Drosophila melanogaster: one gene and its partners. The protein of the gene in region 3 interacts with the protein of the main gene of each other region in a biochemical or structural test. Each region holds a gene or a part of one and is shown on either strand. Other genes may lie near its edges.

What was found.
Region 1: of the proteins of Delta (region 3) and kuz, one has a biochemical effect on the other in vitro, tested with the Drosophila melanogaster proteins (one study listed by BioGRID).
Region 2: of the proteins of Delta (region 3) and neur, one has a biochemical effect on the other in vitro, tested with the Drosophila melanogaster proteins (one study listed by BioGRID).
Region 4: of the proteins of Delta (region 3) and mib1, one has a biochemical effect on the other in vitro, tested with the Drosophila melanogaster proteins (one study listed by BioGRID).

The regions. Positions count from the first base shown.
Region 1 is NT_033779.5:13,547,014-13,554,607, forward strand, and holds the start of kuz (kuzbanian), read left to right. Parts: upstream 1-3,125; 5' UTR 3,126-3,280; exon of another isoform or gene 3,281-3,407; intron 3,408-4,128; 5' UTR 4,129-4,589; coding exon 4,590-4,653; intron 4,654-7,594.
Region 2 is NT_033777.3:9,029,296-9,036,974, forward strand, and holds the start of neur (neuralized), read right to left. Parts: upstream 4,437-7,679; 5' UTR 4,155-4,436; coding exon 3,884-4,154; intron 1-3,883. UniProt on the Drosophila melanogaster protein: Involved in neurogenesis. Interacts with other neurogenic proteins in the specification of the neuroblast versus epidermoblast cell fate.
Region 3 is NT_033777.3:19,321,850-19,329,523, forward strand, and holds the start of Delta (delta), read right to left. Parts: upstream 4,369-7,674; 5' UTR 3,690-4,368; coding exon 3,633-3,689; intron 1-3,632. UniProt on the Drosophila melanogaster protein: Acts as a ligand for Notch (N) receptor. Essential for proper differentiation of ectoderm. Delta is required for the correct separation of neural and epidermal cell lineages.
Region 4 is NT_037436.4:16,004,838-16,014,856, reverse strand, and holds mib1 (mind bomb 1), read left to right. Parts: upstream 1-3,044; 5' UTR 3,045-3,208; coding exon 3,209-3,577; intron 3,578-4,547; exon of another isoform or gene 4,548-4,580; coding exon of another isoform or gene 4,581-4,616; intron 4,617-4,694; coding exon 4,695-5,927; intron 5,928-5,986; coding exon 5,987-7,924; intron 7,925-7,983; coding exon 7,984-8,124; 3' UTR 8,125-8,305; downstream 8,306-10,019. Other genes in the region: mRpS31 (mitochondrial ribosomal protein S31), read right to left, coding at 8,307-8,943, 9,010-9,465, 9,530-9,567. UniProt on the Drosophila melanogaster protein: E3 ubiquitin-protein ligase that mediates ubiquitination of Delta (Dl) and Serrate (Ser) receptors, which act as ligands of Notch proteins.

The DNA of each region.
Region 1 (7,594 bases), on a different chromosome or scaffold from region 3:
ATCTAAAATCTAGATGATGACGATGGAAGCGATGCTGCACATCCTGGCGGCCATCTTTTCGACTGGCTAAATTAACTTTTTGAGCCGCCTCTCACATGTTGTTTTCTCCGGCGTTGTTGCTGTTGTTGTTTGTCGATTAACACTTCGTCTGCATGGTTATATGTATATATGGATATATATGTAGGAATAAATTCGTTTAGACGTTTTTTTTTTTCAAACGGTTTTACGAGCGATTTAATATTGTTAAATTGATTTACTGCTGGCCGTGCGCACAAATCAAGTTTTTTTGGCTTTATGATTCGTCGAATACGGAATAAATAAATAAATAAAGCCAAAACTAATCGACGGAAGCCCCGAAAAAAAGCTTTTGAAAGTGGCCCACGCAGGCGGCAAATAGCAATAGTTGAGAAATGAGATAAATAATGGCAAAAAATCCAAATTAAAGTGTAATAAAAAAAAGAGGTCTAACCACTTTTTATTTTTTTTTTTTTGCCTTCCACCAGCCGAACAGCTGAAAAAACACAAAACTGTCGACGAACCTTTTGGCCATTTGCAGCCGGTTTGCAGGGGCAGAACCAATTAAAAAATAAAACCAAAAATAATACAAAAATAGTAAAGAAAACTTTACAAATCAAAAGTAAGTAGGGGTAGCGCAGAGAAAATTAAGGAAAATCCGAACCAGTTGCAAAGCGCCAGCAGCTGATCCACCGGAAAAACTGAAAAGCGCGTCTACACAACCTGAGCAAAGGACCTGCAGCCGGGCACTGAAATTCCAGGAGCAGACCGCCTGCCACGGACGTCAACTTATGTAAAGCCGACTGCCGACTGCCGACTGCGAACTTCGGCCCACATCGCGCTGTTCACCGCCCGCCCTCCTCCACCATCGATTCACATTCACATTTTCCCATTTTCCGGCATTACTGCCGAAGTAAGTGCGTGCGAGCGAGACGCCAGCAATGCAATTTTGCGGGCCAAAGTCAGGCAGTTAACCAGCAGGCTGGTCCGCTTTTTCCTCCTCTGCTGCTCCTGCTGTTTCTTCTTCTTCTTCTGCCTGCTTCCTGCTGCCTGTGGCTGGCACATCTGTGTGTGTGTGTGTGTGGCGCCTGCGCACTGAGCGCACAGCTGACGGCGGTAGGGACCAGGACCGAAGTCCTTCAACATCGGGGAGGGGCAAAAAGCTAATCTCGGAAGTTTCAAGTAAGGTATCATAAAAAATCAAGCTCTTTAGCGTTTTTGGACTTTTACTATTTTGTTTTATTCATCTTCTGGTTAAGAGAATATTCTGCTATAAGAACTTTCAAAAAATTTAAAAACAATGCAAACTATAAGATATTCAACCACAATTGTATAAGCCACGTGATTTTAACAATCACATAATGCCTAGACACACAAGTAACCAAACTTGAGGTTGACAAACTTTCAGCCACCTTATGTAACGTGTTGCTCCCCGAGATTTTGACCGCCCAAGCGTGAACCGTCCCTGTAGTCAGAGGTTTAACCTCTGTTGCTAGGCGCCCGACGCAGTCCCTCCACTGCCGACGCCGGCAGAGCTGCGCCGACTGCCGAGCCAGCTGATTTTTGTGGCAGAGCCGAGGTGCCGTGGAATGGGGATTTTCCCGAAAAGTAACGGCTCTTTCGGGAAAAACCGTTTTCCGTATTGATTTCGGGGGGCGCTGCATGTGAGCTTCCCATAAACCAAATATGCATTCTAAAACGCCCGATGAAAGGAGTAGTTAGCTGCAGTTGGAACGAAGGAGTGGGGAGGGGAATCGAATGAAAAGAAGAAGAAAACAAGTTCTGGGCGCACAGTGGGGCAAGCTTAGAACTGTAGTGACCACTGTGCGGCAGCAGTTGAGCTTCTAGTTTGCAGTAAACGCTTCGGTCTCTCTCTCTCTCTCTCTCGCTCACGCAGGAAACCTGTTTTCGAGAATCGTTTTTTATAGCTTTTGCCACTTGCCACCAGACCAGGCCAAAATAAAAAAAAAATAAACAAAAAGTATTTCACAAGTTTTGTTTGCTTGCTTCTTTGCTGTTTGTGTTGTTGTGGTTGTTGCTGCGCTTGCTAGTTGTTTCGCTTCTGTTTATCATTTACTGTTGTTGCCACCGTTTGGCGTTTACCTTTTGCACAATCTTCGTTTACATGAAAGCGGCGACGACACGCGACCAAAGGCACACACACATTCGCACCTACACCCACACACGGACGGGGAACGCGGACAGACACACGGATACGTGAACGCAGACACGAGGTAACGGTAACGGACAGAGAAAGCGAGCACGTCCACCCGCAGCAACACTCGATGAGCATCTGACGAAGTGTTGCCAGGTGACACAACTCAGAGCGTCTTAACGAGTTTATCACTAAAAAATCCGAGCATGTTAATAATGAGCGCGCGATTCAAAATGGTTGTATTTTAACGTATACTCAAATTATCACAGTAAGCGATAGGCAAATTTAAATCAGTAGATAACCATAGCAAATGGCCCTATCCAGCTTATTAGCATAGCAACAAAACAAGCTTCTGATGTAAACAGCTTATTTGTTAAATATATCAAATTTCTAATAGTTTTCATTATAAATCTAAAATATCAAATGTGGCAACACTGGTTCCATATGATAAAGGTTGCCACCAGGCGTAAAAATATTTTCGTTGAAGTGGACGAGGGCTGCAAAATAAAGTAATTTTGGCGCCTTTTTTGAATTTAAGTGTTCAAAAAAAAATTTATGTAAATGAACGAAGAAGTACACAAGCTCACAAAACAAAATGATTTTAATTTTAATTCAATTAAACAAATTCTCTTTAGAGTTTAAAATATTATTTTGCAATAGCTTAATTTAAATAACATAAATAACATTTGTATTTGCTGTATACCTTATGCGTAAGTATCAATAATGTTTAAATATGTTTAATTAGCTGAAAAGTAAGTGCTGTTGCCTAAATAAGTTTTATTTAATGAATCTAACTATTATTAATATACTATAGTGAATACGATGAGTCATTGTATCATCTCTCGTCAATATCAGTATTAACGCACACGAAAACTAACGCATTAGAAAGATTATCTCTTTTTATGATACTGGTCACTCTAAGACTGAAGTACATTTGTATATGTGGTGAGAAATCGGGTAGTTTAAAAAAAACCACCAAGCGAGTTGGACGCGTAACTCTTTGTAACGGATCTCGGAACGCCGTGGGAGTCGGAAAATCGCTGGACGCGTGTTCGTGCGTTTGCATGTGTGCGTGCGTTCGTGTGTGTGTGTGTGCTAATGTGCGAGCGGGTGAGCGAATAAAAATAAATATATATCGTCAAGTCAGGCTTAAGAAATGTGCGCTAATCAAAGAAAATGCCCCCAATTCTGGCCAATTGAGAATTGTGGCTAAACAAAAAATTCGACCGGAGTTCAAGTGAGTGCCAATTGCGGAGACAAAATGGCTGCATTTCAACGCATTTAATTTACTGGCAACACATAGCAAACGAGAGTGAGAGAGAGAAATGTAGAGAGGCAATCCGAGAAGCAACATAAAAGAGAGAGCATGAAAGAAGTACAAGACGAGGCACACGAAAATAAGTAAACATGCAAAAACATTGTTAAATTAGCCCTATTGCGAAGTTAAACTACACATAATACTATTCACGAAAACATTTTTCTGTTTAATTATTTTGAAACAGCATTGTAAACAAATCGATTTGTTGTTCTTTTGTGCCAGCAACAACAAGCGTTTTAAAAGCAACAATAATTAATTTAATGCATTTTGTTGCGTTTGCGCCGCAGCTGTCGCTCTCTCCTTTTCCGTCTTCCGTCGCTCTTTGTCGTCTCTGTTGCATCTCCCTCTCTTGCTCTCCTCTCCGCGCTTGCTCATTGCCTCTGTGTGAGTGCAAAGGCCAATAGCTGTTTTTGTTGTGATTTTATGTTTGTTTGTATTGCTAATGTTTTGGTTTTCCAACTATTCATAAACTTATTAAACAAGAAAAAACGCATACCGAACTTATGAATATAGCGTAAATAGTAAAAAACATAATTATAAAAAAAACAATAAAACAAATAAAATTGCCTATTTTTATATTTAAATAGTATATTTTTAATAATATTAAATCAATCAAAATGTCTCGCTCTTCTGCCTTCAGAAATAAACAATCCAGTGAATAAACACACAAAATCAATCAAAAAAGAAGATTTTTCTTTTTTATTTTCGCTTTTAATTTATTAACGAGAAAATATTGGAATAAAACAAAAATAAAAATATAAGAAAAGTGTACGTGACAAGAGCTCGAAAAGAAGTTGCAACAAATAGCAAAAATAATTCGTGCGTGCGAAAAAGTGCTGCGAAGTTTTATGGCCCATGCAAAAAGTGCTAAATTTGTAAATGGCATGGAAAGTGCAAAGCTCTGATTAAAAAACCCGCGAAGATTGGAGTGCGAGGTGCCGCCCAATAACGCAACCAACTACTGCCACAAGGAAATTATTAAGACCAATCAACGACCTTCGCGGAAATAAAAAAAATAAAAAATAAAACAAAAGCAAGCAGAAATTTGGTGCTAGTTCTGTTTAGTCGACAGCCATCCACGTTGGATCCCCATCGCAAATAATGTCATCAAAATGTGCTTTCAACATTGTATTCGTATCGATCATTTTCATCATCATCGTAAATGGTAAGTTCGAAAAACTAACATTGATTAACAATGTAATCTAAATGGTTTCCGTTCCTATTTCATATAATTTTTTAAATATTTTAATTTAAAAATACATAAAGCATTGGTGTTTTTTTTCTGCACTTGACTCACTGGCAACCGAAGAAACCACAACAATCGGGGCTTAAAATGAAATACAGCCGAGGGTGCTGCAAATGACGCATAGACAATAACATTGGAATAAGTGCTCAATCAGGCGGAAACAAAGTTAACATTTTCACCCAGAACCCTTCGAGCAACAAAAATAATTACGTACTTTGCCAGGATAATTGACGAGTGAAGGATATTAGGGGGAAGGGGAAGGGTATCGTTTTGAGGGTGGAACACAGAGGGTTTCTTATAATTTTAGTAGACACTTTGGGTAATTGTCTTTGGGTTTTCTCGCCTCCCTAACTATGCTGTGGGTGTATTTTGTTATTAAACAAATGGGGTTGCTTTGCATAATTAATTTAATTTCGCTATTGTCACTCCAAGCGAATTGACAGAATGATTTTCTTGTGACCCAGAGTGTTTGCTTTCAGCAATATTCTCACTTGCAGGTGCCAAGGTTTCAAACTCAACCGACTCTAATAACAATCTATATAGCCGTGAATGTACTTTTTTTACACTTAAGTTAGCTACTCATATATGTATGTATGTTCATGTAAATATACAAATTCAGATTCTACCTATTTATTTCCACAAAGCAAGTCCATTGTTGGGGCAAAAAGAGCGAAGAAGGCGAAAAGCATAAGGTATAACGTGAGTCATGAAAACCTGAGTAAAGCTCAGGGGACTCATCCATTTTTATTGTGAAATCGTTAGCTTGGGTTTAACAAAAGGGGACTTACAAAATTTTAAAACTATATACTTCGGTATGAAACACACAGTAGGAATGAAACATTTAGCTTATACATCTACATATATAAATATATATATCAGAGTTGTGCTACTTAATTTATGAATATATTGTGTTTTGTGATAAAAAAAATGTCGTTACTGCATTGAAGACCGTTTTTTCGCCACTTCAACTAATTTGTTTGCATGGCAAGATTTTCCTAAGTTCAACGTTACGAAATTCGAGGCGGGGCGAGGGATCATGACAACAACTTCCACTCTTGGCTAATTAGCCAAAGTCAAGCAACATGAACATGGGTAAAAGAGTGAGGATTGAGGGCCAAGAATCAAGCCAAGAAGAGTGGCGGAGGCAAAAACTGGTTTATCCACTTGGCCGGCTAATCTGACAACAAAGAAAGAGAGCAGACATAAGAACCGAGAACCCAGAAGCGAGGCGAATAGAAAAGGCCAGAGACAAACAAAAAATCTGCGAAAAAGGTCAATGTCTCGGCATTATCTGTCTGGGCTGCACAAACCATATTATAATGATTAAAAATGAAAAAATTATAAAAAAATATATATATATATATATGCAACAGCTATCGGAGAAGAGTTTTTCTCCCACAAATAAGCAGCGGAAGCGAAAGAAATATATAAACCAAAAATGCTGTGAAAAGCAACAGTTCTGAGATACAGTAACAAGATACAGCTGGGAATTAAGATAAAGATACTGTATCCGTATCTTAGTTTCAGCTTGAGATTGCGGCTACTTTTTACGTAACTTATCTGCAGTTTTTTGGTTTCGTTTTTTTTTTTTTTTTGATCTTGAAAGAGACAAAAAAAACTTGAAGATTCGCTGACGAGTGAAATGAGTTTCTAGAGTCACATCTGGGTTTTTCCGGATTTTATTATTGTTATTGATAAGCTGTTGACTAAAAGTTGTTTCAAATATAATTTCAGTCGGGCAAAAAGCTTTCATAAATCACATATAGGAGATGTGGGAGAGTTTAGGATGGGAGGAGAGTTTAGGATGATAGGGCCCAGAGAACAATGGACACTTTGCCCGGGCATTTATGCAATTTTCCTTTGCTTTATTTCCCGTACGTGCCGAGTGCAACATAGTAAACAAACAAATAATGAAGCCACCATCGAAATCTAGAGATGACAACGTGACCGTGGATGAAGAACTTCGTGCTGTTTCATAATATACTCGTACAAAGAAAATGACCCACAAAACTCGTGGGTTTATTTGGTGAATCCGACCCAGATGATAGACGCGTTTGTTCTGTATTTGCCGTCGTATCTGCCAGATACAAATGTATCTGTCATTGCAAAGTGTGTTACTATCACCAGGCGGCTGACATTTATTGTTTGCCGAGTGCCTCTGCCAAATAAATGAAATAAAATGTAATAAAAAAATGAAATGCATACATGTAGCATTTATATGCGAATGTATACATGCGGTGAATAAATCCCTTAAGCTTGTTGAATGACTGAAGCGCCTGGCACTTCAAATTGATGAGTAGCTTTAATGAAAGGGCGTGACTCGATGTAAATTGCCCTCTTCTAGGGCGCTGCACATGCAGGGAAATGTAAATGGCTTTTCCGAGGGTGAAAGCATTGGTTGAATCGACACAAATGTCGTTATCCTGGCAGGTGAAATTCGTGTTGGCAATTTCCGTAACCGACTTAAAGGTTTTTGCGTGCGCATTTTAATATGCCAATTATAAACATAATCCGCCAAATCTTTATCTGATATATGATTTTAGTATATTTAAAATGGCATAAAATATATGGACGTTAAAATCCGTTTTTTGAGACATTACTAATTATTCTAGATATGGGCTTAGCACTTCCTTTGGGAAAGTGAATAATGTGTGCTCTTGAAACCTTCATTTCCACCAGGAAGCCCAAAGTTAGCCACTAAAAATGCGCTTAAATTGGATTTTATGTGAGTATTATGCTGCCTCATTATGCCAAATGGCCTAAATAACAATCAAAGCGGGACTCGCATGACACCAGTGGATTTGGGGAGTTTGAGGCCGGAGACTTGGAGGTTTGGTAGAATTTAATTAAATTATTAAAG
Region 2 (7,679 bases), about 10 Mb from region 3:
AGTTGAAGCAACTTAATTATTAAGGAAGCAATTAATACCGCGTTTCGTTGCAGTACTGTACTTTCGAGAGCTCAGATACGATAAGCCCGGCTTTCTTCCGCTACGTTTTGTTGCGCTTTGTAGGCTTGCTGTTTATCGAAGCGTTGCAATTACTGCAAAGGGCCAGTGGTGGGGTCTACATAAATGTACAGAAAAACATATATACGAGTACAATATAGAAAAGTTGATAGTTACTACCATACAACTTGCATTTCCTCGCACTTGACTGCACAAGACACCCACCCCCGCGATTCTCTACAGTCTGCCAACTCTTTGTGTAATTAAATCACTCGAGCGTTGAGGGGGAGCCCACAATAACAGCTTGAAGTTGCGCTGAGTGGAATGGAATGGACTCGAAGAGTCGTCTTGTGATAGGAACACATCATTATTACATTATAACGCTGTTATTACAATGGCTGACACAGACAATTCAAGTGTTTTGGACTGCGGAATTCGATAGTTTTTGATGCCACCGGTTGCATTGTTATCGGCCATCTCATTAAAACTTAGTGTTATAGCCAAACCATGCAAATTTCGAAGATTTTAACATATTAAATACCCCGAACAGATGCAAAGCTAAAACCAATCTAGTTTTGGTTCCTCCCAAAATAGGTGTACATATTAATTACATTAAAGTTCTGCCCGAATTTCGGGCCACAAACGCTAAAGGCCAAAAACCAAAATCCAAAAAACTCGATCTGGCCAAGTTGCTAGCGATGGATAGCCGAACAGCTGCTGCTGCTGGACATAGAGGCAGGCATAGATTAAATACCCGTAGGTGTTCGAACCGAGTAGATATACCGACGGTGATTTATGCCTAGCAACCAGCACATCGCCCGCCCTAACCCGTCTGGAAAACACGCCCTCCCGAAAGGCCTACAAAATTGACCCAAAGATGCCTTTGGATATCTTTTCGTCTCACTTTGCGTGAGTTAATTGCAGCTGATTTCTTGGCCAGGTATATACTATGTGCTATGTGGTATTGCTATATTATATGTTTCTACCTGTAGCTACCTGAACTCCACCTTTTGTCTTGCGTCAGTTGCAACACCCTGCGGTGTAGCGTATCTACTTAGATTTTTTCTTTATCTATGGGGTGGTGTGCGTTTTTATCTTTCGGCACAGACAAAATGTTAACAATTTTGTACTACACATTTGGGTCGTGAGGAGAACTAAGGCGATACAGACAATGGTTATAATATACTTTTCATTTTCAATTTTCATTTAGTTATACACTAGGTTAGAATTGTGAGATAAATCGAAAAGATTTGTTAACCGATGTTCACTGTACTCGTCTTCAAGCTACCAACTTAGTTCAATAACTGATAAGCGAAAGATGTGGGAGGCACTAAATAGGTCACAAGATAGCTAGCTCTTTAGAAAAAAGCTAGCAAAGTTAGCACAAGCATCTTTGTGTATATCCCCAATAGTTAACAACTGGTATTTATAGTTAATCAGTTGCAAAACGTTTACACTTGTAGAGATAACATTTCGCAGTGTCCGTTATCAAAGCGCGAAATTAAGCAGTGCTTCATATCAGCTATATGAACTATACTATACTACAATAACTATACGCAAACTTCAGAATGACACATCGAGATGATGACCTCATGAGGGGGAGAAAAATAAGTGAAAAAATAACGAAGGGGATGCATGAAAGTGGAAAAATATAGCAACAGATGTATGTAGCGAAAATGCTCAGCATACAACTGTGCTCAACAGAAAATGGCTTACTGGGAAATCAACAATAATATGTTAATATTGAAGCAATATTAGCAAAATGTCTCTTAAACATTATGTTTACAGAAATTTGTTTTTAAGCGGCGACTTACATATTTTGAACTTAATAGAATAACATTTTAGGTCTCAGAAGTTAATGTATGTATATTTATGGTGACCAACATTGTACTTAGATATGTACTTATATGTACAAACTTCCTTGGGGGGTGCGTACCGTCATTAACAATTGACTATTTACTTTTGGCCAACAATCGAAGGTCGGGCGACAATTTGTATTTGTGTGTCCCATAATCGGGGTCTCAAAGACGAGTTGGCAGTGCTCAGTTGCAAGCACACGCACGGCCAAGCAAACCATTTCGAAAAGTAAACCGTGAGAAGCTAAGTAAAAGCCAAGAGCAGATAAACTTTTTAGCCAAAGCAAACGTGGCATGCCAACACACAATAATAATAACAACAACAAACAAGGTACGAAATGTAATAGAAAATGCAGGTACAAAAAAGCAAAAGCAGCTGACGCCGAGCAAAACAACAACAAAGCAATTTCATTGATTACCGATAGGCAACGCACGTTCAAAACAAACGGACTGGAGCCGCCGCATAAAACATAAACCATTGCGGGCTTAAGCGCTCAGCAGAAAAATAAAAACTCCAAACACACTCAAGCTTCAAAGCCACGCCTCTTCCTCTTCTCATCCCGCTAGTCCATGGCTCTTCTCTTCTTCTCCTGCCGTGGATCGTTTGCTTTTCTGTTGTTGCTACCTTTGTTTTTGCTTTTGCCGATGGCGGCAACGGCGCTTCGCGTACAATTCCCCGAAAGGCAACAGCAACAACAACAAGCAATACTGAATGAGGCAGATGCAAAAACAGTGGTGGCGGGAAAAATGGAATCTCTTAAATACAGTACAATATTTTGCATAGCCACTTTTGACAAATAAAACTATTCCAGTGCTGAAGGACTAAATTAATAACTTTTTTTTATTATTCATATTGCGTCGTTCGTTGATATTCGACTGCTAGTTGTGCGACCACAATTGTTCGTAGGAGGCCAGTAAAAATAAAAAAAAAAGGGGTAGAAGCTTAGCCTATGCGTCACTGGCTTTGCTTTGCTTTTGCTTCGCCTGCTTTGGCCAAAAAAGAGAGCATTGAAGCCGAGAATGCAATTGAGCCAAAGTCAAAAAAAAAAGGTGATTTGTTGTTTTTACTTCTTTTTTTTTGTCTTTCCTTAGCTCAGCTGCTTGCAACCAAAACAAAAACAGCGCAACAAATTCCCCAGCCCAGATAATCGTTATGATAAACATAATCGCTCCTTGGGAAAATTGCTTTTGGTGGTATTTTCTTCAACTCAAGATCCCTCCGATCTGGTCTTCTCGATCAATTTGCGGTTACTTGGGTGCGATTGAAAAATTCAGTTTTCGAGAACTGACATTTCCGGCGAAAAAGTCGGAGTGTCGATGTTAAATTCTGCCGAAAAAGCCTTGAGAGAATTTCACATTTAAGATTTTTTCGCGCTTCTTTTGTGTCTATCTAGTCGGAAAAAAACAATTACTATTATAATCGCAAACTGGGCGTGTTCTGGGTGAGCATTTATTCATTAGCTTTTTGTTTTAAACTAACTCAAACTTTTTCGGTTTTTGCTCTTATCTTTCGTTATTTGTTATTGTTCTTGAGACGTAAAATGCTAATGTATGCATAAATGATTGCGGCTGGCTGTGTTTCTCGCTTATTTATCTTGCCGCTTTAATTAACCGAATGAATGAAAGAGCGATAGGTCAGACCACATGCTAATATTATGTGGGAATATCGCTGGAGATAAAAATACGATTCCCAGATCGATGAATAATGTATTTAAGGCATTTTCGCACGCGGTAATTACATTTGCTTCAAGACTTTAATGGTCAGATATCACGAAGGAAGTTTTATATTGTTAAAATGTACTACATCTACTTTAGAACCCAATCACACTGATTTTAAAAATTATTCCTGGATATTCCGAGAATTGTACGTCCTTTGAAAAACGACTTGGAAATTAACTGAATATTCTTGTTAATATATCCATCGATATCCTTAGCCCGATTCTTAGCCTGGTACTAATGCGACTACTAACCCAATCCAAAGCGCTTCTTGATCTTCTTGAGCAAGTGCATTTTCTTCTTGCTAGAGAGCTTGTCCTTGGTGCTCATGAGCAGCTCGTTGGACTCCATGGCCAGGACCTGGGCGGCCTGCTGGGCGGGAGTGGGCATGGCGTTGTGCAGCTGCTGCATCTGTTGCAGATGCTGCAAGTGCTGCTGATTCTGGTGGTGCTGCTGCTGCGGATGGAGAGTTAGGTGCGGATGGCTGCCCTGCATATAGTTGGCTGGTATATCCGATAGACCCATGGTAGTGGATTATTTCTTATTTCGTTATTTAAATTAAAACAGACGAACTAAACGAACACGCGTAATGCTAATGAAAATGCACAAGCTGCTTGCGTATTTTATTTGGCATTAAATTAAGCGATAGAGTTCTTCTTCGAATTTGAATGTTTTCCGTTAAAACATTTTGAATTTGGTTGGTTGTTTGTCTGCGCGCAACGGGAACAAACGAAACGAAACGATACGAAACACAAAGACCGACGACGACAACTTCGAGACAACCTTTCGCTGAGTTTTTTTTCAACAAATAAACGGTGGTGCAGCCTTTTATAGCTTCGCACCAGCGCGACGTCGCTGACGCAGCTCAGCTGGAGAGTAACGGATAGTACTGGCGCGCAGAAATTCTCCCGTCAGATTTGGCTTTTTTTAGTATATGTTTTCAAGATATTTAGAAGTTTAGGTATGCCAGTAAGACATATTTGGAAATTTAAGTTTTTTATAATTACTATTAACGTTTAGTGACAATTTGGGCTGTAGATTTGAATAACATTTCCTGTTTTACAATTTAATTAAAATCAAGAAACGGTAACTAAATTACATTAAAAATGCTTCAATTTATTTAAACTTATAATTTGTAAGCAATCTATTCAAATAATTTAAAATTTATCCATTTTCTGGCTAAGGGCTGTCAGCCCTGAGCGTGGATGGAGCGAAAAAGAGAGCTCAAGAGAGAAAATTATGAGACGCCATCGCTCTCTTTCTCTCTCTGGCAGCTGTTTCTTATTTACTATGGTTTCGCTTTGTGCCTGCTATTCGCGTGTATAGAGCCTCCCTTATAATTTACCTTTATGCCTCTAACTCTGCACCTTGATCAGGGATTCCTCCACATCTTCTCCTGCTGTTGCTCTTCCTGCTTCTTGTTGTTGTTGCTCTAGGCCTGCATTTGGGATTTTGGCCATAGTGCTCTGATCTTCACTAACAGTTATTCTCCTCACCTTAGTGTGTGTGTAGTTCAGCCAGGTTCAAAGCAATTCTTTTTCTTTTTCGCAGGGTTTACAAGGTCTGGCTCATATAACTAGAAAACTATTTCAATTGCCCTAATGCTTTTGATCGTGAACTTTGTGGGCCAAATATCACACGTACATACATATGTGTGTATGTATGTACTCAGTTGGAGTATGTATGGAGTAATTCCATGGGAATTAAAAAAAATTCCCAAACGTTTCTTGATAATAATAATAAATTTCTTCTTTTCCCAATTGTTTTCGGCACATTTAATTGTCCATTTTGTATGTGCAATTTATTTTAATAGAGAATATGAAACGAGATTTGTTTTTGTTTTGATTTTTTAAGTTTGCACTATAAAGATTATAAAATGAAATGGAAAGTTTGTAACTCAATTCCCAGTTTTGAAACCATTAGCTTACACAGAATTTAAAAAAATGTACCTATGATCTGGGACACATGCTATTGTGGTCTCATTTGCTAAGCTTTAGCATTGTGGTCAGCAGGATAACTGCCGTCTGGCGTCTGATCATCCTTTATCCTTTATGGATGCCACGCTGCCATTGATGGAGGATGATAATTGCGCCGAGCGCTCCTTATCCTCATCCTCGTCCTTTTTGTCCTGCATCGACAGACGGAACCGGGCAGACCTCACAGCAGATGCAATTTTCAAGATCGGAAGGGATCAAGACGGGGCAGAAAGCATTTAAATTTTGATATTAAAGTGGAAATGCATATTCAGCATCCTGGCAGCAGGCGTGCGTCCTGGAAATACATCTGCTGCTGCTTACCCGATTTCCCCCTCCTGTTCGCTCAGTTTGCAAAAATGCAAAAAAGGTCGGAGAAGGTGATGTTGGCGAAACAGGAACCGGCAGACATCGAGACCAACGAACAACCCCAAAAATTGTCAAAGAATACAGTGATCATTGGATAGAAATATTTTTTATCGACTTTAGGTTAAGTAGAAATATTAAAAATGCAGAGTAAATATCCTTGCAATATTATTTCAAGCCCTAAACCAACCTTATTTTTAGGATACCATTTCTTTTTTTTCTTTTAAATGTATGAATACTTATGTATTATAATTGCGTATCATAGTTTTTCGCTTATCGATATCCACTGTACCCATCATGATCACCAACGAAAGGTGTCCATCTGCGGTTGCAGTTGGAAAAAGGATCCGAAAAGGGTTTGCTCTACTGTAGTGCGTTTCCCCGCGCAGCCCCTGCCATTGGTTTCGTTCTGTTTGCTTGCCAATTCCAGGTGTAAATTCATAGCAAAAGATACACAGATACACGGTGAAGAGGGATTTTCGAAGCGGAGAAAGAGGAAGCCAGCCAGCCGACCACGTGCCAGGTTAAAATCGAAAAAAAGAAGAGACGTGCGCCAGTTGCCTTGGCTGATAAGGATGTGCTCTACTTCTGCGGATCGATTGGAACTTCTTGTACGATTATTTATTTTTATATATTCATATTTTGCCAGCAGACAGCTGCTTCCATTTGCATTTGTCGCCTTGATGGGGGAGATAACTGCAGTCTGCTGTTTTATTTTCTGTATTTTCTTTTTTGCTCCTCTTAAAGTATTTTGTGGTTAAATTTAGAATTTGGCACATGTGCCCCCACAAGTCCGGCGGTGCAATTTTTATCTCTCCATTTCGGTCTCCCACGAACATCTGGCTTAAGAATACGTACATATATAGATATATGGATCATAGTTCGGTTTTTGCTGGTTTCTTCTTAGTCCCGCATTACCCTCTGGCCTCACAATTGTCTTTTTTCGACCATTGTCTCGAGAATGTCACAGCGATTTACCTTTCAGACAGTTCCTTAACCTAAGATTCCTGTGGCTTTTCGAAATCTTCGTCTATGGAGAATTGACCTAGGCAGGCATTTAATGAATATGCCAAACGATCATTTTGCACGGCAAGTGAGCAGATTCAGGGAAAACAAGTAAGGGAAAGGGGTTTAGAATTTTAAATTTGTCTCGTTCTAGAACTAGTATTTAAACTATTATATGCTCTTAAAAATATATATATGCAAAGAAATTTATAATTAATCTTTTCGAAAAGGTGATCAATAAAAAACCTCACACATAACGTTCTTTATGATTTCTAGAAGTTCCACTTCAAAAGATAAGAAAATCACATACCATAAGACCTAATAAAATGTGAAGATAAAAATACGAGTTACACAAATTTCCATACATACATATATCATATCCATAGGTCTCTTATCATAACTACCTCCATTACGATCGAGTTACTACCTTTGCCTGTTAATAGATAAATTTAACTCATAGATATATTTATAAACACAACGAAATAGTTTCCAACTCAACAAAATCGAAATTAAACAATATTTATAGAGAAATCTAATGCCAAAACTAATTTAAATAGAGGAAATAGCTCAAGTGGGCCAAAGATAAGTGTGGGGAAGTAGTTTGTAGTGATCAGCACTGATAGTATGATTTATTTAATGAAAAAAGACGAAGTGCAAGAAAATAAACGAAAAGATACAAGAAATTGGCAGCTGTCGATGGGAAGAC
Region 3 (7,674 bases):
GGCATACGATTTTGCCGGTCAACATTGATGGTTAAAACGAGGAAAAGAGACAGCGCGAGAGGGTGAGAAGGGGAGCGCTTGGGCGAAGAGCGAGAGAGCAGAAGTAAAAAGGTGTAAGCGAATAAACGCCAGGTGAAGAAGAGCAGTGCATGCAGCCATATTGAAAGATCGCCAAAAGAGAGAGAGAGAGAGAGGCCCCAAGCTATAACAGTTTAGCGCAGAGCGAGAGAGAGCTAAAGCGGTAGTTGTTGTTGTCAGCTGAGCGCAAAAAGAGCAAAGCGTGACTTAAAAGTGAATTGGAGTCGCGTGTTTGCTGGTGTGTGTGTGCAAGCTTACAAGCTGCAGCTGCCAGCTGCTCCAAAGAGAGAGAGAGAGCACGAGAGCGAGGCTCTCCCAGAGCAAAAACTTGTTTTCAACGGCGCTTTGAAGAGGAGCATAAATATGCGCAAAAAAGCACAGAATAAGAAGCAGGCAAAATGAATTAATAGACAATCAAGCCAAACGATGCGTCTGAATTAATAAAAGAAATACAATAAAAAAGGGAAAGAGAAAGAGGGAGAAAAACCATTGAGTGGAAGGAAGGTTAGAAAGGTGGGAGGCGGCGGGCAGGGGGGCGTGTCCAGTGGAAAGCCAAACTAAACTAGACTATAAACAACAAAATGGGACAAACGAAAAGCGCACACACAAACAAAGGCGCAGAAGTTGACACAACATATACAACACAAAAAAAGCAAGACAAAACAACAAGCAAATCAATTTGCATAACACCAAACAAACATTCACACACACTCTAAAGATGGTGGGAAGCACAAGCAAAACAAAACAAAAAGTGCAATCGTTAAAACCACAATAGTTTTGTCCACCATTTGACACCAATTTTGGTTATAGTTTCTCACACTGTTTTAAAGTCCCTCCAAGTATGCGGTTAGTATTAGCAAGCTCTTAAAGGGACAAGTAGTAGATAATATGATGAATTAGCATTTAAAAAACATAACTTTCGTTCTAATAACGTAAAATATATAATATATTTCTCTTTGATCTAACTTTTCCGACTGTTTTTATCGTAATTCCAAAATGTTGAATGCTCAGTTACACCTTGCACAATCCGCCTCATAACTTTGGCATATGTACACTGGTAATGGTTCTCCTTCCGCTTTTTGTTTGCCTTTGCCTTCAACTATGAACTCCACAGCGGCTGAATAACCGAAAGGTAAAACTTGTGGGGGGGATCTACGAGGGGGTTTCGCCAGGTGGAACTTGAAAGCTGGAGCTGCCAACCTCTCAAATGGAAGACAGACACTTGTTAAAGTGTTAGAAAATAGTGCGTTGCATTGTTTACCTTTTGCTTGAGCCATTCTTTGTCTCCGTTTCTCGTTTTCTTTCTCTTTACTGGCCACTACTCCTATTTTTACTGCGATCACTGAGGCTTGAAGCGACTAGTTAGTTAGTTCTTCGTTTCTTTTCATTTTTTGCCATTTCCACGTCAACTTGCCTTGACTGACAGACAGTTGTTGTAGAAAAAAAAGCAGGGAAGAAGTTAAAACAACACAAGGGGACATAAAAATGTATGAAAGCACGCATTTTTATTATAATTTTCCCCGACTTTTCCTCGACTTTCCTACAGGTGTTTGCTTTGGTGCCCCTACCCTGCATGTTGTTTATTAATCATTTAAATTCATCATCATAATCAACCGTTAACAACGGGCTTGGGAAACAGTTACAAGCGCAAGTGAATCATCCATCGCATTGTGTGGGAGTAGTCGTCGTCTTCCTCTTTGGCTTCTAAATTGCAATTAATTATGTTATGCGAAGAAAGAGCAGAGCCGAGAAGACTACGAGTGCTCCCCCACGAGTCCCAGTCTTCATTCATTCATTCATTCATTCACTCACTCGCTCACTCACTCACTTCTTCGACGCTCAATGTTAATATGAAAATTGCATAAATGCGAAAACAAGGCGACTACGGTTATTTGATAGTTAAATTGAAATTTAAACGCAGCATGGGACAAGAAAGGGCCAAGAAATTGTGAGAATAATACCTTATAGAATGGGCAGAAAATTGAATTAAATTGCATTGCTAATGGCAAGCTAATTGCCCGAGATATTATTTTAAATGACAAATTAAACTATTCCACCTTTCCCTGTAAGTAAGTAAGGAAATGAGTCAGAATTATTGGGCAGATGTTTCTGCCTACATACGGGGAGCATTTTCAGCAGTCCCAAGACCCCAGGAGGTTGGCGTCGAGACACTTTTTTGGGACGTTGTTAAAATTAGCGACTAAATAGCAGACTGCAAAAAGAAGCTGGTCGAAGAGTGAAGTTTAAGCACGCAACGTGCCAAAGTTGGGAGAAAATCAAGAAGTGCGGAGAGCGGTAGAGGATTGGAGCACATGCAGGGTGCACGGTGAGTAAATGGGTACTATTATCAATAAAGAGCTCCCTATCAGCTTAATATTGTGGATCTAAGTTGTAATTTCTTCGTAGCTAAATAGTTCTGAACTATGAAATGTATACTATGTACACATACTATGTATGGTCAAGATTTATTATAATTTAATATTTTCTTATCTTTGAAACTAACCCACACATTAACAACAAAATATTTAGTGTTATTTTCTAGAGATCGCACTGTTTGGAAACCCTGCACAACTCTTTTTTTTATCCGTGTAACCAGGGGATGCTGGCGTTAAAGATCAATGAAAGCATGACAGAAGAGAAACAACGCAAGGAGGGGAGAGCAAGTGAGGCTGAGCATGTGTCGCGTTGACCTACGCAGAGCGAAAAGTAAACCGAAAAAAATCGCATGTAAAAAGCGCATGCAAAGCGGAGGGACAGAGGAGGAGATGACGGCGAAAACGGCAGATGTTGCCCAGCATCATCAACTTTTTAGCATGGGCTTGTAGCACAGCATTACTATATAGCCTCATATTGAAATCGAGCAGTTTTATCATTTTTTGCTGCTGCTCTGGATGCATACGCCGTTGGTGGTAAATTTTGACGTTGAGGCAGACTTGGATCATCTCTGTTTTTACACGGAGAACAATTAGTACACATAGTAGGATTTCTAAGAAGTTGAACTGATCTGCATGTCAAAAATTATCTTGAAGGTATTTCTTCTAACGTATGCCTCATATTTTTCCGCTGTGTACTAGAATTAAACCATTTTTTGGGGATGGACCTGTTTGGGCATTGGCCTCGCATGTTTCCAAACTAGTTTTGCTCTATGAAATATGTATGCATGTTCCGAAAAGGGTGATACGATCCGATCCACAATTTCCACCCCTAAAAGCCAACCCGCTTAAAATATCAACTCAGCTGTTTCTACCCAAAAGTTCTCGGGTTACCAGCTTGAAAAATAAGTTTGGAAGCAAACGCGATGTTGGAGTGGTTTCAAAATAGATATTTTGAGATGATCATACGGAACCCCAAAAGTTTTAAAATATTTAGTAACCTGGCAACCCTTCAATCGTTTCTTCCCTTTTGGCCCCACACACACACATGCGCGCACAACACACCAGCTGCAAAATTCAGCGGTGAGTGCACGCGTGCGCGTAGAAATAAAGAAAATAAATTGCCAAAAAATACAACTTGTTGGATGGAAAATGAGCGCTTTTCCTGGGACTGAAACTCACCTGCACGATGACTGTGAAGCAAATGAATGCTGTTAATAAACATTTAATCCAATGCATGTTTATTGATGTTTTTGTTGCTGATTTTTTGGATTGAGTGTCGCTTTTAGTGTAATAATCCACGGGCTGTGTGTGTGTGTGTGTGTGTGCGGCAACTACTCAAATTGTTTATTGTGTTTATGTTTTGAATTTTTTTTTTGGTTACTTGTCGCACATGGTTTTGCAATTCGCTTTTAGCATTTTCGTTGTTTTCTTGTTGTCGTTGTTGCAAGCTACACGTGCACGCGCCACATTTTTTGTTGCAATTTCCTCGACTGTGTTTATTTTTAAGTGTCGCGAAATAAAAGCTCTTTTCGCGAACTGCGGAGTCTTCTCCTTTTCACGCAGAAAAGCGCAAAAGGGAAAAGCGAGAGAGGGAACTAACGGTGCCGCGATTCTTAATCATTCGCGATTTTTTAATCTTTCGGAGGAAACACTTCTTGTTATTCTGTTAGAAGATCTTTTATTTTGATTTCTGGTTCTGGCACTTTTCTTTTGGTACATTCAAATATCGAATGAGAACTGCCCAGAGTCGCGGTAATCTGCAATTCTTAAGTGAACTATTGCATTGGCAGTTCGCGTCACACACCGAATATTTGGTCGCGTTTCGAGTCGGGGACTTGTGTTTTTCAAAATGCCTTGGCTGCGGAGCTGCCTTTTTCGAGTTATTCGCGCGGCCGAGTTGAAAAACGTAATGCCGTTCATGTCCACGACCAAAACACTATTCACCTTCACCGCCGCGAATCGTACTAAAAAATACCACGAAACGTACTCGCTCTCTCATTTCTCTCTTTCGCTCTCAAAACGAGTTCCGTGGCAAAATTAGTGCATTTCAGCAGATGCAATGCAACAAACCGTTTTGAATAAATAGTCAACTTACACATTTTAAAAACTATTTAAAATTTCAATATACATTACCAAGTTTATTTTGATATAAGAATTTATTATATTGTTTAACTTCAACCGGACGGGTGTTTATTTGTACAAATTTCCAAGATTGTCTCTAAATAATCTTCAAAATTCGGATTTTTTATTTCTAGATATTCTACTTTTATTTTTATATCTAAAATAAAACAAATCAATTCAATTCGTTTACGTTAGCAACATTTGATTCCCCGTTTTGCTAGCAGTTTCAGATACCAGTTGGATACCGGCTTGTAAGCATTTCGTTAGCAACATTTGATTCCCGGTTCGCTCAATTTACCGATTCAGCTCACGCGAAAGTTGAAAGCAAAATGCTTAGCAACATTTATTGTTGCCAAGATGAGAACCAAAAATAAAATTAAAGATGGATATTTGTATTTAATATAAATATTTGAATTTTATTATATTGGGTGCTTATAACTTATTGAATTGGCATGCAAGTATATCTCCATCATCTTCATTAGCAGGTACGTCATCAGTCTTAGGGTCTTGGTATTTATATTCCACCAAACTGCCGATCCAAGCATCCAATGTCGTTAGTATGATCAAAATCGAATGAGTTTCACTTCGCTAAAAACAACTTCTGCTGAAGACGTTTTCAGAGACGGAAAATGCATCATCATATGAATTTTTTTGGCTCTGATAACTTCTCCAGGACTGTCGCTCTTATGGAGGTGAAACTCCTTCGAGTTTGGGCATACTAAATTCATTGAAAGAGGATCCATAAACTACATATTAATTGTCCAAGCTGCTCGGTGGAAATTGCTGAAGATACCATCTAGCTAAAGGTTTGGAATCTCATTAAATATGATCAGAATGTACAAATATTTACAAGCCTCTGCCTCAAAGATCCATTGGCTCGGAAATACCATCTTGTGATAACATCTTCACTGCGTTGCATATGTTTGCTCCACAATAACCAAATGAACTAGAATCTCTATTGAAATAAACGATAAATAACTATATAACCAAACAATATTTCAAAATCAATAAATTTTGTTCTAAGCATTTTGTGTAATAGTAATAATTTTTAATACTTGCATTTATTTTCAACGAATATTAAAAAAAATAAAAATAAAATTTTTTTTTTGAATCCAAATATTTTCTAGTTGATATAGGACTGCCGACGATGCCGAATCGAGCTAAACTAAATATTTTTATGAAAATAGATTGAATATGATGTGTTCGCCTACTACGATTTCATTTTGGCTTTACAATTTTAAATAGCTGGCCTGATTTTCCAATTTGTACTTCCATTCTATTCTGTAAAAATCTTAAGGTAAAAATGCTAAGTCTGTACACCTATTTATTTTATTATTATTCCTAACAAATCATTAGATTCTTCGGTGGTCTCTGGATCCAAACTTTCGTTAAAAATTGATCCAATTACTTAACGAAAAGAGCAAGATTAATTTGATTCGATTTTTTGATCAAACATTGTAAATCACTCGAAAACAGCAGTTCATTGAAATGGTCTGATAAATGGGTCAGCAAGGCAAAGGGCTGAGAATAACATGGCCAGAACTCTCTTCACGCGAAATAAAGTTGTTGAAATTTGTACAATAAAAATCGGTCTTCATTAATTTGCATCGAACGAGGGACATTTGCATATGCATGAGACCAGGAGGAGACCAGACAGGAGACCCCAGAAAACGAAACCAATCAAGTCAACACCCAATTTTACAAGGAAATGCGGACCAAGACCCCGAATTTCTCCTGTCCGACTATAAAGTTCCCGCCGCGATTCCTTTTACAGTGAAGTTTCTTTAAAAGTGATCAGAAAATATATGCAATTCCTTCATTATTTGAAAAAAGAAACAAGTATTAATTTTAAAATAATAATTTTAGTTTGGCATATTTTAATAATAGTTTTATAATATGTATTTATATGTATTTTATCATTGACTTTTATTAAAAATAAGTAAATATTTAAAGTGTTACTATGTTTAAGTATTATCTTTTTAGAAACTACAGCTTACTCTCTTATTTCTAAATTCGTGTAGTTTATTTTGCAGACATTACTTTAATCTTCAAAGCCAATTCACTATAAAGATGTCCAACTGTAATGGCAATATTTAAACAAACATATATTTCGCGCAATAAATTTGACAGTAAAGTACTCGCACCGGGAGTTTTCAAGCCATGAGAAGAGTGAAAAGTTTTTAAATTAAACACAAATTTATGATCAAACAACGGCAACGGCGAAGTGAAAAAAATGAAAAGGAGCAGTGAGAAGAAAAACCTGCAGGCTGTGGGGCAAAGTCAAACGGCAGCCTCTCGATCGCCGGAGCGCGCCGTTTAACCCCCCGAAGCCCCTTAAGGCCCCTTTAGCCCCTTGATCCCCTTTAGCCACCCTCCCGACTTTTAAAGCCAAGTTAGCACCTGTAAACCGGTTGGCTGTCGGCAGGTAACCGCGTGGAGCTGGGAGCTCCAACTCCGAAAAACAGATGTCCTGCTGCTCCAAATTGAAAGCGCAACATACATCATCCATCCTTTTTGCGTGCACCCTTCTGCAACCCCCCCCCCCCTGTTAGCCGCTCGGCGGGTCCCTTAACCCGTCGAAGGGCGCCGTGCAGTTTGAATAATAAGGCAGCAACAACAAAGAAATTGGGGTCATGTACTTGGCCAAGTCCACCAGACAGGCAACATCTTTCACTTTGCAGCCTCTTCTGCGCATCCTCGCACCGCCCCTCCATTTACCCTCCGATCTACACGTATTTTATGCATATTTTTTGGCCAAGAGATAGCGTTTTTTTTTTCTTGGCCCTCTGTGGAGGCTGCAAAACTTGAAAATTAGTCGCGTGGCTTGTGATAATCGGTGGATCCGAGAGGGGGCCTTTAAGATCTGGAGGCGGGACATGCTCTTCATATCGGGTGGAGCGTGTGTCGCTCATGATCTGTTTATAGTTCAGATGGATGATGTAATGATCAATTGCAACCTGTTTCCAATATTTCTCCGGTGGCATGTGTCGTTTAATTGCTGAACTTGTTATCGAAAGGGCTTCAAAAATAAACAAGGCAAGAATGTGTGGGTCTCTTGATGATATGAAAGCATTAATGAAAGCAAACAACATTCGTTTAA
Region 4 (10,019 bases), on a different chromosome or scaffold from region 3:
AAACGGGAGCTGATCTGCGGCGGATCTGGCCAAAAGTGGCGGCATTCATTAAGAATTTAAATCGCACATAATTAAGGCTCAATAAATAGCCGATCCGGCTTCAATATGGGGCATACGATTTTTAAAAAGGCAAAAGGCGGAGACAACAAACAAAAAACAAAGGCGAGCGAAGATAACAAACGATAAGCGGAGCAACAAACGGCATAATTAAATCATAAGACGTTGAACACATCATTAAAATCGTTCAAATCGCTACTCGACTTGAAAACTGGCTGCTGACTGGGGAATCGTCTTACCCCCCCCCCCCCTCTTTCGACCAAAACAATATAAATAAACATTTATAAAATGTATATTTATTTATGAGCATCTTTCTTTGTTTATTAATTCGAATGGGGGTCTGTGTGTCGCCGATTTGATTGGATCATGTGGGTGATCAGCGGCTCATGCTGGAGAGGATTGCGGATGGCGGAGTGGCTCCAACTTGCCACGGCACGTGGTAAACGCGCTGCATCAAAGGCGCCGGCCACATCCCACCTAAATGTAAAGCTGGCTTCAATCTGGCGGCATCCAACATCCAGCAAGATTGAAGATCGAAGATCCAAGATCCCGCATCCCGCAAATCCAGCGGCGGCATCGATATATAATCAGGCCGCTCCGCCAGGCTGCGGAGGCGATGTCCATAAAACTGGTTGCAAACGCACATAAACCATTTAAGTCGAAAAGAAATCGGCGCGCTGGCAACTCTAACGAGATAAAAACAACTCGCAGCCACTTTGAATGGTATTTTATTTTGTTTTTCTCGAATTTTTTTATTTTCTTTTTTTTTTTTTTAGCCAGAAATCGATTTGGCTGTTATTTTCAATATTTTCGCCTTCTCGCGTTTGCGGCCTTTTGCATTTCAAAGGAGGCCGGCATTTCATTTCACAAAGTCAAAACAGTTAATTTATATCATGTCGCGACTACTGGTCTTACTGATTTTGCATTTTCGACAGACCTCCGGCTACCGTCTTTCGAAATTGAAATATGAAAATGAAATCAATTTGGGGCCAGAAACCTGATTAGCACCCCCTCCACCAAACCCACTCGACTACTTAATGCACGCATAGAAGATTGAAGCCCAGATTGGATGAGTCTGGGATTTGGAAAATCGAGAGATCGCAAATTAGTCACATTATAAGTGTACATACAGATATGCGCGGCCATAAATTTGCGTATATATGTATGTATCTCTGTGGCACTCATTTGCTGAATGGAGTTGAAATCGAAAATGAAATGATGCACTGTACGAAACATTTGGTGCTTTTGACATATCATTGCGCGTATTTTTATAATATCTAAAATAAATTAGATAAAAATTAGAGAAGATTAAAAATTGCTTAAATCTACTGGTTAATTAAAAATATACAGAAATTAATCAATATATTTTACTTTAATGCCGCCTATATAACGTTTTTTTTATAGGGAACTATACGGAAAAAGTTTTAATTATAGGATATTTCAATGGATATTATGGTGTATTATTATTCAACCTGAATAATGAATGTAAAACTATTATATATGTGTAAAAAATAAATAATTTTTGATAGTTTACATAATTGCAAAGCCGAATGCATTACTTATTTTTCTTTGTGCATCAAACTGAGCTGGACGAGATGCGGGGGACGACGGTATGTGGCCTTGACGCTGCGGTGCGACTGCGTAACTAAGTAGCCGCCGCAGGACAGCCGCACCGTCACCATCGCCATGGCACCATCACCGTCATCACCAACACCACCATCACCACCATCAGCAACGGCATCAGCATCACAATCTCCGCCAGCAGCAGGTGCACCAAGTCAAGTCGGCCGGGCTCAAAAGGTGCCGCTGAGCCTGAGCTAATTTCAAATTACACACTTCATTCGCCCGGGGAACTGGGACAGCGACTTGGACTGCGATTGGGACTGGGATTGGGATTGAAAACGGTATTGGTATCGGGACATGGGGCTAAGTAAGCCGCTTTTGAAGCCAACCACAATTGACAAGCGTGCCCCGCACACCGCACTATACCACCACTCCATACCCTACAATACACCATATCCATATACTATGCCATATCCATACCTATACCGCTCTGATCCTTAAGATCAAAGCCGCCGGCCGCCCGCACGCTCAATCCTCCTCCTCCACCAAAAGGAAAAGGTCCGAGATGCAGTCACTTGCCGCCTAACGGTCGATCGATGGGCTCGTAATGTGCGTGCAAGATGGATTTTCGGGCACCGTGGGTGTGGCTTATTTTAAAGCAATTAGGCCCATAGTGAAGAAGCGTGTCTGCTGATGTCTCTGATGTACGAGGACACTTTTCACTATTGTCCGTGCCGGCCTTTCATCTCGCCCGCTAACAGATCATTTGAGTCCGGCCATTTCGGGCCATTAAACTGATTAGTTGCGGCCAATGGGGGACGCTTGGAAATTACTCAAATCTGTGATTGATACTTTACGGTGGCAATTATACATGCTGTTTAGGCAGCAAGGATTTTAATTACCAAACGCGGCTCTAGTTTTCTGATGGATGAAATGATTTTCGTTAAACTAAGGTAAGCTTAGACACCCATCCCAATAATATTATAAAATAAAACTGAAAGTCAACTCAATCTTATTTTCACAGAAAAAATTTAAGTTAGTTATCATCAAAATCGGAACGTTATTTATAAGAGGGCTGTCTGTTAAATGTTGAATATAGTTAAATAGAGTTGTTATAAATCCTTGCAGAATTGTTTATGAAAACAAATAGGAGCATATTTTTGTAGTCAAAATTACGATTAAGTAGCTTAAGTAGTTTACTAAACTAAAGTAGTTTTACTCGTGTATCTACATTAGCTGTAAAGTAAAATATCGTGTAGAAACTACAAATGTTAGAAACCGTTATATTGGTAACATTCAATCGCTACATTTTTGCGGCAACTCTTCGCACTTTTTCCACTGTGCGGCATAGAGTGACCAGAGTTCAGCAACTGCACTTGAAATTTCCTGCGTAACGTCACACTGTTAATCTATCGCACCGCATGAGATCTATCGCTTGCGCGACTACGGTCACATTCTTCGGTGGTTGTAAAAATTCCGTGAGTGTTTAGCAGCGACTCCGATTTTAAACGTGAATTACCCAACGAAAGAGTGCAGTATACCGTGGAAAGCGAAGTCCACCCGCCCAGCGACCTTGCGGAGTGGTAAAATGTCTTGTGCGGCCACCCTCTCGTCGGCCAAGGACTCCACCAATGCAAATGCCAGTGGTGGTGGTGGTGGTGGTGGAGGAGGAGGAGCACCGACAAACAGCAATACCAACACTAACACCAACACACAGTCCACAGCTGTGGGTGTGGTAGTGAGCAGTGCAGCAGGCACAGGTGTTGGTGTTGGTGGGGGAGGAGGTGGGGGTGGTTCCCTTCCCGGTGGCACCACCTCCTCGTCCTCCGCCTCAGCCGCCGGTGGCGTTGCAGCGGGCGGCGGCGGCAATTCGGCAGCGGCCCTCGTCCGAAGATTCTCCATGGAGGGCGTGGGTGCCAGGGTGATCCGCGGACCGGACTGGAAATGGAACAAACAGGTGGGCAGGGTGAAGGGGGTGTCCCAGCTGGTTTTGCTTTAACTTCCAGTGAAAAAAGAACTCTCCCCGTTCTCAATTGACCGATCAATTAATTTAATTGCACACCTCAACTCGATTCTTGACATCTGGCCAAACTAGTCAAGTTTCTCTTTTCGCATTACTAACCAGAATCCCAATGGGGACACATGTGATCCTAGAAAGTGGGTATAAAGTCCTACTTCGGTGCACTGAGAAAATCCAGTTCATAGATTTAAATATTTATCGTTGTTACATTGATAGCATTGCAATTTAAGTGAGATCAAAGTGCACGACCAAAAAGTATTTCAATTTACTCAAAAATGATAGCGTATGTATATTTTGAGCATGTTCAGTTAACACTTTAAATTATTCGTGTACTCAATTCTTCTTTTCCCAAGCTTACATTTACATTTAATATGTGTAACCTTTGGCTGGCTAATTATGTCTTAACAAATGGCTTGTGAGTCATATCTCATACATACATCATAACTCTGATGCAAGCTTTGAAAGTCTGTTTGCTTTAGCCCGGAAAAACGATTTGAAAGTGCAGAAAGATACAAAAAAGGCAAGATTAAAGTATAGACATTTCCGCACACAATTTCTTTAACTGATTCGATGAAGATTTACCAGCATGATGAAATATCCAAGCCCATAATCAGTGGCATTATTTGACTAATCATAATGCAGATAAAAATTTAAGTGGATTTACAATATGCTGCAGCATTTCAACATTCAAGTATTAACAGTATTAGTTGTTTAGCAAAATATTAGTTCAAATAAGTTATAAAATGTTAAACCGAAATTTTTTCAATGAGCTGCTTGCAATCGCTGAACAAATAGAACCCTATTACATAGAAATGGAGGTTAAGCAAACCCTCATTCCCTTTATTTATATTTATTTATTTTACGACTCGTTGATCGCATTTAGAGATAGCCAAACGAATTTGTAGCGACTACCTACCTTAACACTTAGTTAGTTGCTATTATGCACTTCGGCTATAGCTTTCGCATCCTAATCAGCGTGGGTTACGAAATGGAAAATCGAAAGATGGACTGAGTCACTACAAATATAATATTTTTTCGTTTCGATTCTCTTCAGGACGGCGGCGAAGGACACGTGGGCACCGTTCGCAATTTCGAATCCGCCGAGGAGGTGGTCGTGGTCTGGGACAATGGAACAGCTGCCAACTATCGCTGCGCCGGAGCCTATGATCTGCGCATCCTGGACAGTGCACCCACTGGAGTAAAGCACGAGGGCACCATGTGCGACACTTGCCGCCAGCAACCGATCTTTGGCATCCGCTGGAAGTGTGCCGAGTGCATTAATTACGATTTGTGCTCCATCTGCTACCACGGAGATAAACATCATCTGAGGCACCGTTTCTACAGGATCACCACGCCGGGAGGTGAACGAACCATGCTGGAACCGCGTCGTAAGTCCAAGAAAGTGCTCGCCAGAGGCATCTTTCCGGGAGCTCGTGTCGTTCGCGGCGTGGATTGGCAGTGGGAGGATCAGGACGGAGGCGTTGGTCGGCGTGGCAAGGTCAACGAGATCCAGGACTGGTCTTCGGCCTCGCCAAGATCGGCAGCCTACGTGATTTGGGACAATGGCTCCAAGAATCTGTACCGCGTTGGATTTGAGGGCATGGCAGATCTTAAGGTCGTTAACGATGCCAAGGGTAGTAATGTTTACCGGGATCATCTGCCACTATTGGGCGAAAACGGACCCGGAAAAGGACCGCATGGCTTTCAGATTGGCGACAAGGTTACAGTGGATCTAGATCTAGAAATCGTTCAGTCTCTGCAGCATGGACATGGCGGCTGGACCGATGGCATGTTCGAGTGCCTAAGCAACGCAGGAATGGTCGTGGGCATCGATGAGGATCACGACATTGTGGTGGCCTACAATTCCGGCAATCGCTGGACTTTCAATCCAGCTGTCCTTACAAAAGTATCCTCGCCAACCACTGCTCCGCCCGAGTTTCAGGTGGGCGACATTGTCAAGATCTGTTCCGATGTGGAGAGCATCAAGATTTTGCAGCGAGGACACGGCGAGTGGGCTGACGCCATGCAATTGACTCTGGGAAAGATCGGCCGCGTGCAACAGGTCTATCATGATAACGACCTTAAAGTGGAGGTGGGCAATACTTCGTGGACCTACAATCCGCTGGCCGTTTGCAAGGTGGCTTCTTCAACTGCCTCCGATGGGAGCTGCGCTCCAGTTATCCCGAGTAGTGAACGTCTTTCGGCCATTCTCAAAAAACTGTTCGAACCAAATGTCTCCGGCGATGCCACTGAGGAATTTGTCAAGGCAGCAGCCAATGGATTTGCAGTAAGTACAAGAAAATACGTTTAGCACTTGATATCAAATAAATTGAACCGCATTTCCAGGCACGTTGTGAGGAGTACTTGGCTGGCGCAGCTCAACCCTCGACCTCCAGTGCCTCGCCCAGTTCTGGACCGGATGTCAATGTGAATGGTGTGTTTGCCGGACATACTGCTCTGCAAGCAGCCAGCCAGAATGGCCATATTGAGGTGATACAGGTACTACTCCGGCACGCCGTCGACGTAGAAATTGAGGACAAGGACGGAGATCGCGCTGTCCACCATGCCGCCTTTGGTGATGAGGCGGCGGTGATTGAGATATTGGCCAAAGCCGGGGCAGACTTAAATGCGCGCAATAAGCGCAGGCAGACGTCTCTGCACATTGCTGTCAATAAGGGCCATTTGAACGTAGTGAAGACGCTTCTAACGCTAGGTTGCCATCCTAGTTTGCAAGATTCCGAGGGCGATACACCCCTACACGATGCCATATCTAAGGAGCACGACGAGATGCTGTCCCTGTTGCTGGACTTCGGGGCCGACATCACGCTAAACAACAATAATGGATTCAATGCATTGCATCATGCTGCTCTCAAGGGTAATCCTAGTGCCATGAAGATCCTGCTGACCAAGACGAACCGTCCTTGGATTGTGGAAGAGAAGAAGGATGATGGCTACACAGCTCTGCACTTGGCAGCACTTAACAACCACGTTGAAATTGCTGAGCTACTAGTGCATATGGGTAAGGCCAATATGGATAGGCAAAATGTGAATCTCCAGACGGCTTTGCATCTTGCGGTGGAGCGTCAGCATGTGCAAATCGTCAAGCTGCTGGTGCAGGATGGGGCAGATCTTAACATACCCGACAAAGACGGGGATACTCCGCTGCATGAAGCGTTGCGACATCACACTCTGTCGCAGCTGAAGCAACTGCAAGATGTGGAAGGATTTGGTAAGCTCTTGATGGGCCTGAGAAATGCTAATAACAAGAAGGCCTCTGCTTCGATTGCATGCTTCTTGGCTGCCAATGGAGCTGATTTGACCTTAAAGAATCGCAAGCAGCAGACCCCACTGGACCTGTGCCCAGATCCCAATCTCTGCAAGACCCTGGTCAAGTGCTACAACGAAAGGAAGACCGACGACTCTGAGTTGCCCGGAAATGTAGCTGGAACGAGTTCGAGTGCCAGGGCAAGAGCAGCCAGTGGTAGCTTAAATCAGTCCTCCTCAGTCAATATGCCGCTTTCCAGCCTAGCTGCCTCATCCACTTTCCCAGCTGCCTCATCATCTTCCATATTTGCCCTCAACGGCATCGCCAACGAAATGAGCCAGTCCCTGCACGAGGATCCTCCGAAATCGTCAGCCAGTCTTGATGAGTGTTTGGTTTGCTCGGATGCCAAGCGGGATACGGTCTTTAAGCCCTGTGGCCATGTCAGTTGCTGCGAGACCTGCGCTCCGAGGGTGAAGAAATGCCTCATCTGTCGGGAGACCGTCTCCTCGCGCGAAAAGATCGACGAGTGTCTGGTGTGCTCGGATCGCAGGGCAGCCGTCTTCTTCCGCCCCTGTGGCCATATGGTCGCATGTGAGCACTGCAGTGCTTTGATGAAAAAGTGCGTCCTGTGTCGCACGCAAATCGATGAGATATTATCGTTCAGCCTTTGCTGCGGAGGTAGTGGACGACCGGAGAAGGTGTCCGTGGCAGCTGGAGCGATGGCAACAGTGGGCTTGCCACTGCCCGACGATCGTTTCATGGAAGCTGCAGCAGCGGCAGCTTGTGCCAATGCCTCCGGCCATAGCGTGGCCATGAACAACACCGTGGTTACTCCAGTGGCGGGCAGCAGCAATCAGTTGAATAGCCAGAATAATCTCCTGGCCGCTGCAGCAGCCTCTTCGAATGTCTCGAATCTGTCAGCAGCTGGAAACGCGATGGTGGCTCCTTCCAATGTCAACAACTTCCAGATGGATGATGTCCAAAAGTTGAAGCAGCAGTTGCAGGACATCAAGGAACAGGTGAGCTCAAATAAGATTGAAAATATGTTCAGTGACTGATCCTCAAATTTATCTTATAGACTATGTGTCCTGTCTGCTTTGACCGCATAAAGAACATGGTCTTCCTATGTGGCCACGGCACGTGCCAGATGTGTGGCGACCAGATTGAGGGGTGTCCCATTTGCCGCAAGACCGTGGAAAAACGCATCCTGCTCTTCTGAAGCCCGTTCCCGGTTCACACATTCCGCGCACAGTCTGCACAGCCTTCGAAGTATTAGGATATTTAAAGGACTCACATTCTTATACACACATATATACACACACAATATCATATATATAACTATATATCGGATTGGTCTTATAAAGCAAAAATATATTTTTAACAAATATTCAAACAAAAACATTAAGCAGAAATACTTTTGCTTGGCTCCTTGCTAATCAGATCCCTCAGAATGTCCTTCTTGGCCTGGAAATAGTCACGGAACCAGAAAATGTGATCCTTCTTCTCCTGGGCAGTCAAGTAGGGATTCTTGGACAAGCCGACGCAGACGAGCTCCATGAAATGGCGAATAGGCCCCTTGCTAGGACACCAATCCTCGAGATGTTGTTCCAGAAAAATGTGTTCCGAGAAGTCCACGTTATGCTCGTCCTCCCAATCCTGCTCATTGTTGATGGGAAAGCGCCACACCTTCTTTTGATCCGTCCACAGGACCATTTGCTCGAAGTAGTTTGCCGGGGGATGGGAAGCTTGTAAACTAAGCTCCCGCTCACTCAGCTGTGACCAGGTTGAAAGGATGTCGTTGGAAATCGGCAGCTGGGTATCCTTGAAGATACCCAACGGTTCCCCGCCGTACAAATTGACACTGCCCGTAAAGGATTCAGCCTCTCGTTTGGTTTGCCTCTGTGACCGCTGATAAGCCCCATCTCGATTCTGTGGCTTGAATCTGGAAGCCAGCGAGCGGCGAACGTACTCGCCGCGGGTCTGCTCCACCTGCTGCGGCTGCTGACGACGATCGATCTTCATGCCCACGATAATATCACTGTTGTGTAAGGAAAATAAATTTTATTAGATTATCCATTAATGCGAGAAAATCATTTTTACACACCTCAGATTGAGTTCCTTATCACCAGAAGGAGATCCCGAAACATCCGCCGTCTGATTTTCTCCGGTCGCTGCTGAAGAGGACTCGCTTCCATGGCCAAGGAGTTTGGCCAATAGCTCAGACTCTGTCTGCTTCTTGTCGCTCTCACTGGTGCCCAGCATGCTAGCAATGTTCTTGGCCGCAGTTAGAACATTCTTGGCGGCTGCCTCCTGTTTCTGGGCCTCCCTCCGCTTCCTGTTGGCATCACCAGGACGTGGAAAGTCCGATGCCGAGAGCTGATCCGTGGCCTGCATGGTGCCCAACAGGCGGTTCAGCCGCTGGGCCGCCGTTTCCACAGGTTCCTCCTTCTTCTTCGTGGGCTTTTCGTCGTCCGAAGAGGAGTATCCATCGTCGTTTTTGGACTGCGAAGAGGAGTAGTTGACCAATCCCACGTTTTTGAAGGCAGACGGTAGCAGGGAACTGAAAAATAAATAGTCGAGTGACGGATTTCTTTTGGTTATTTCAAATTAGACGGGTGGCCTACCGTAGGCCCAATCTCTGGGAACTTCGTACGGCCAACATTTTATAATATTTCTTTGATAATTTTAACTAGAAATAAGACCAAAGAAATCGCTCGCGTAACAACAATTCGGCGGAGAGTTGCCAGACCAGATGAACTGTTTGCACTGCCGTTTAAGCTAGTTTATAGTTAAATTTGGCTTTATTTTATGTTTGGCTTCCCTTGTCCTATTTCTTATAGTGTTTTGATTGAAAATATCCTTAACTAACCTAATCATTTCATGGACATTTGTTTTTTATCTGATTTGATATAATTTGAAATAAAATGTTCTTAAAATTGCATTTTGAATCAAGAATTTTATAGATTAACTTGACCACAGTTGGCAGCCCAAATTGCACCAGATAGTATGACCTTTGATTATCGAATTTGGAAATCTATGAAAATAATTATGTAGTTCAAAACAAGCTCCTTTTATAGAATTCTACATTCTCCTTGTAAGTAATTAACTTATAAT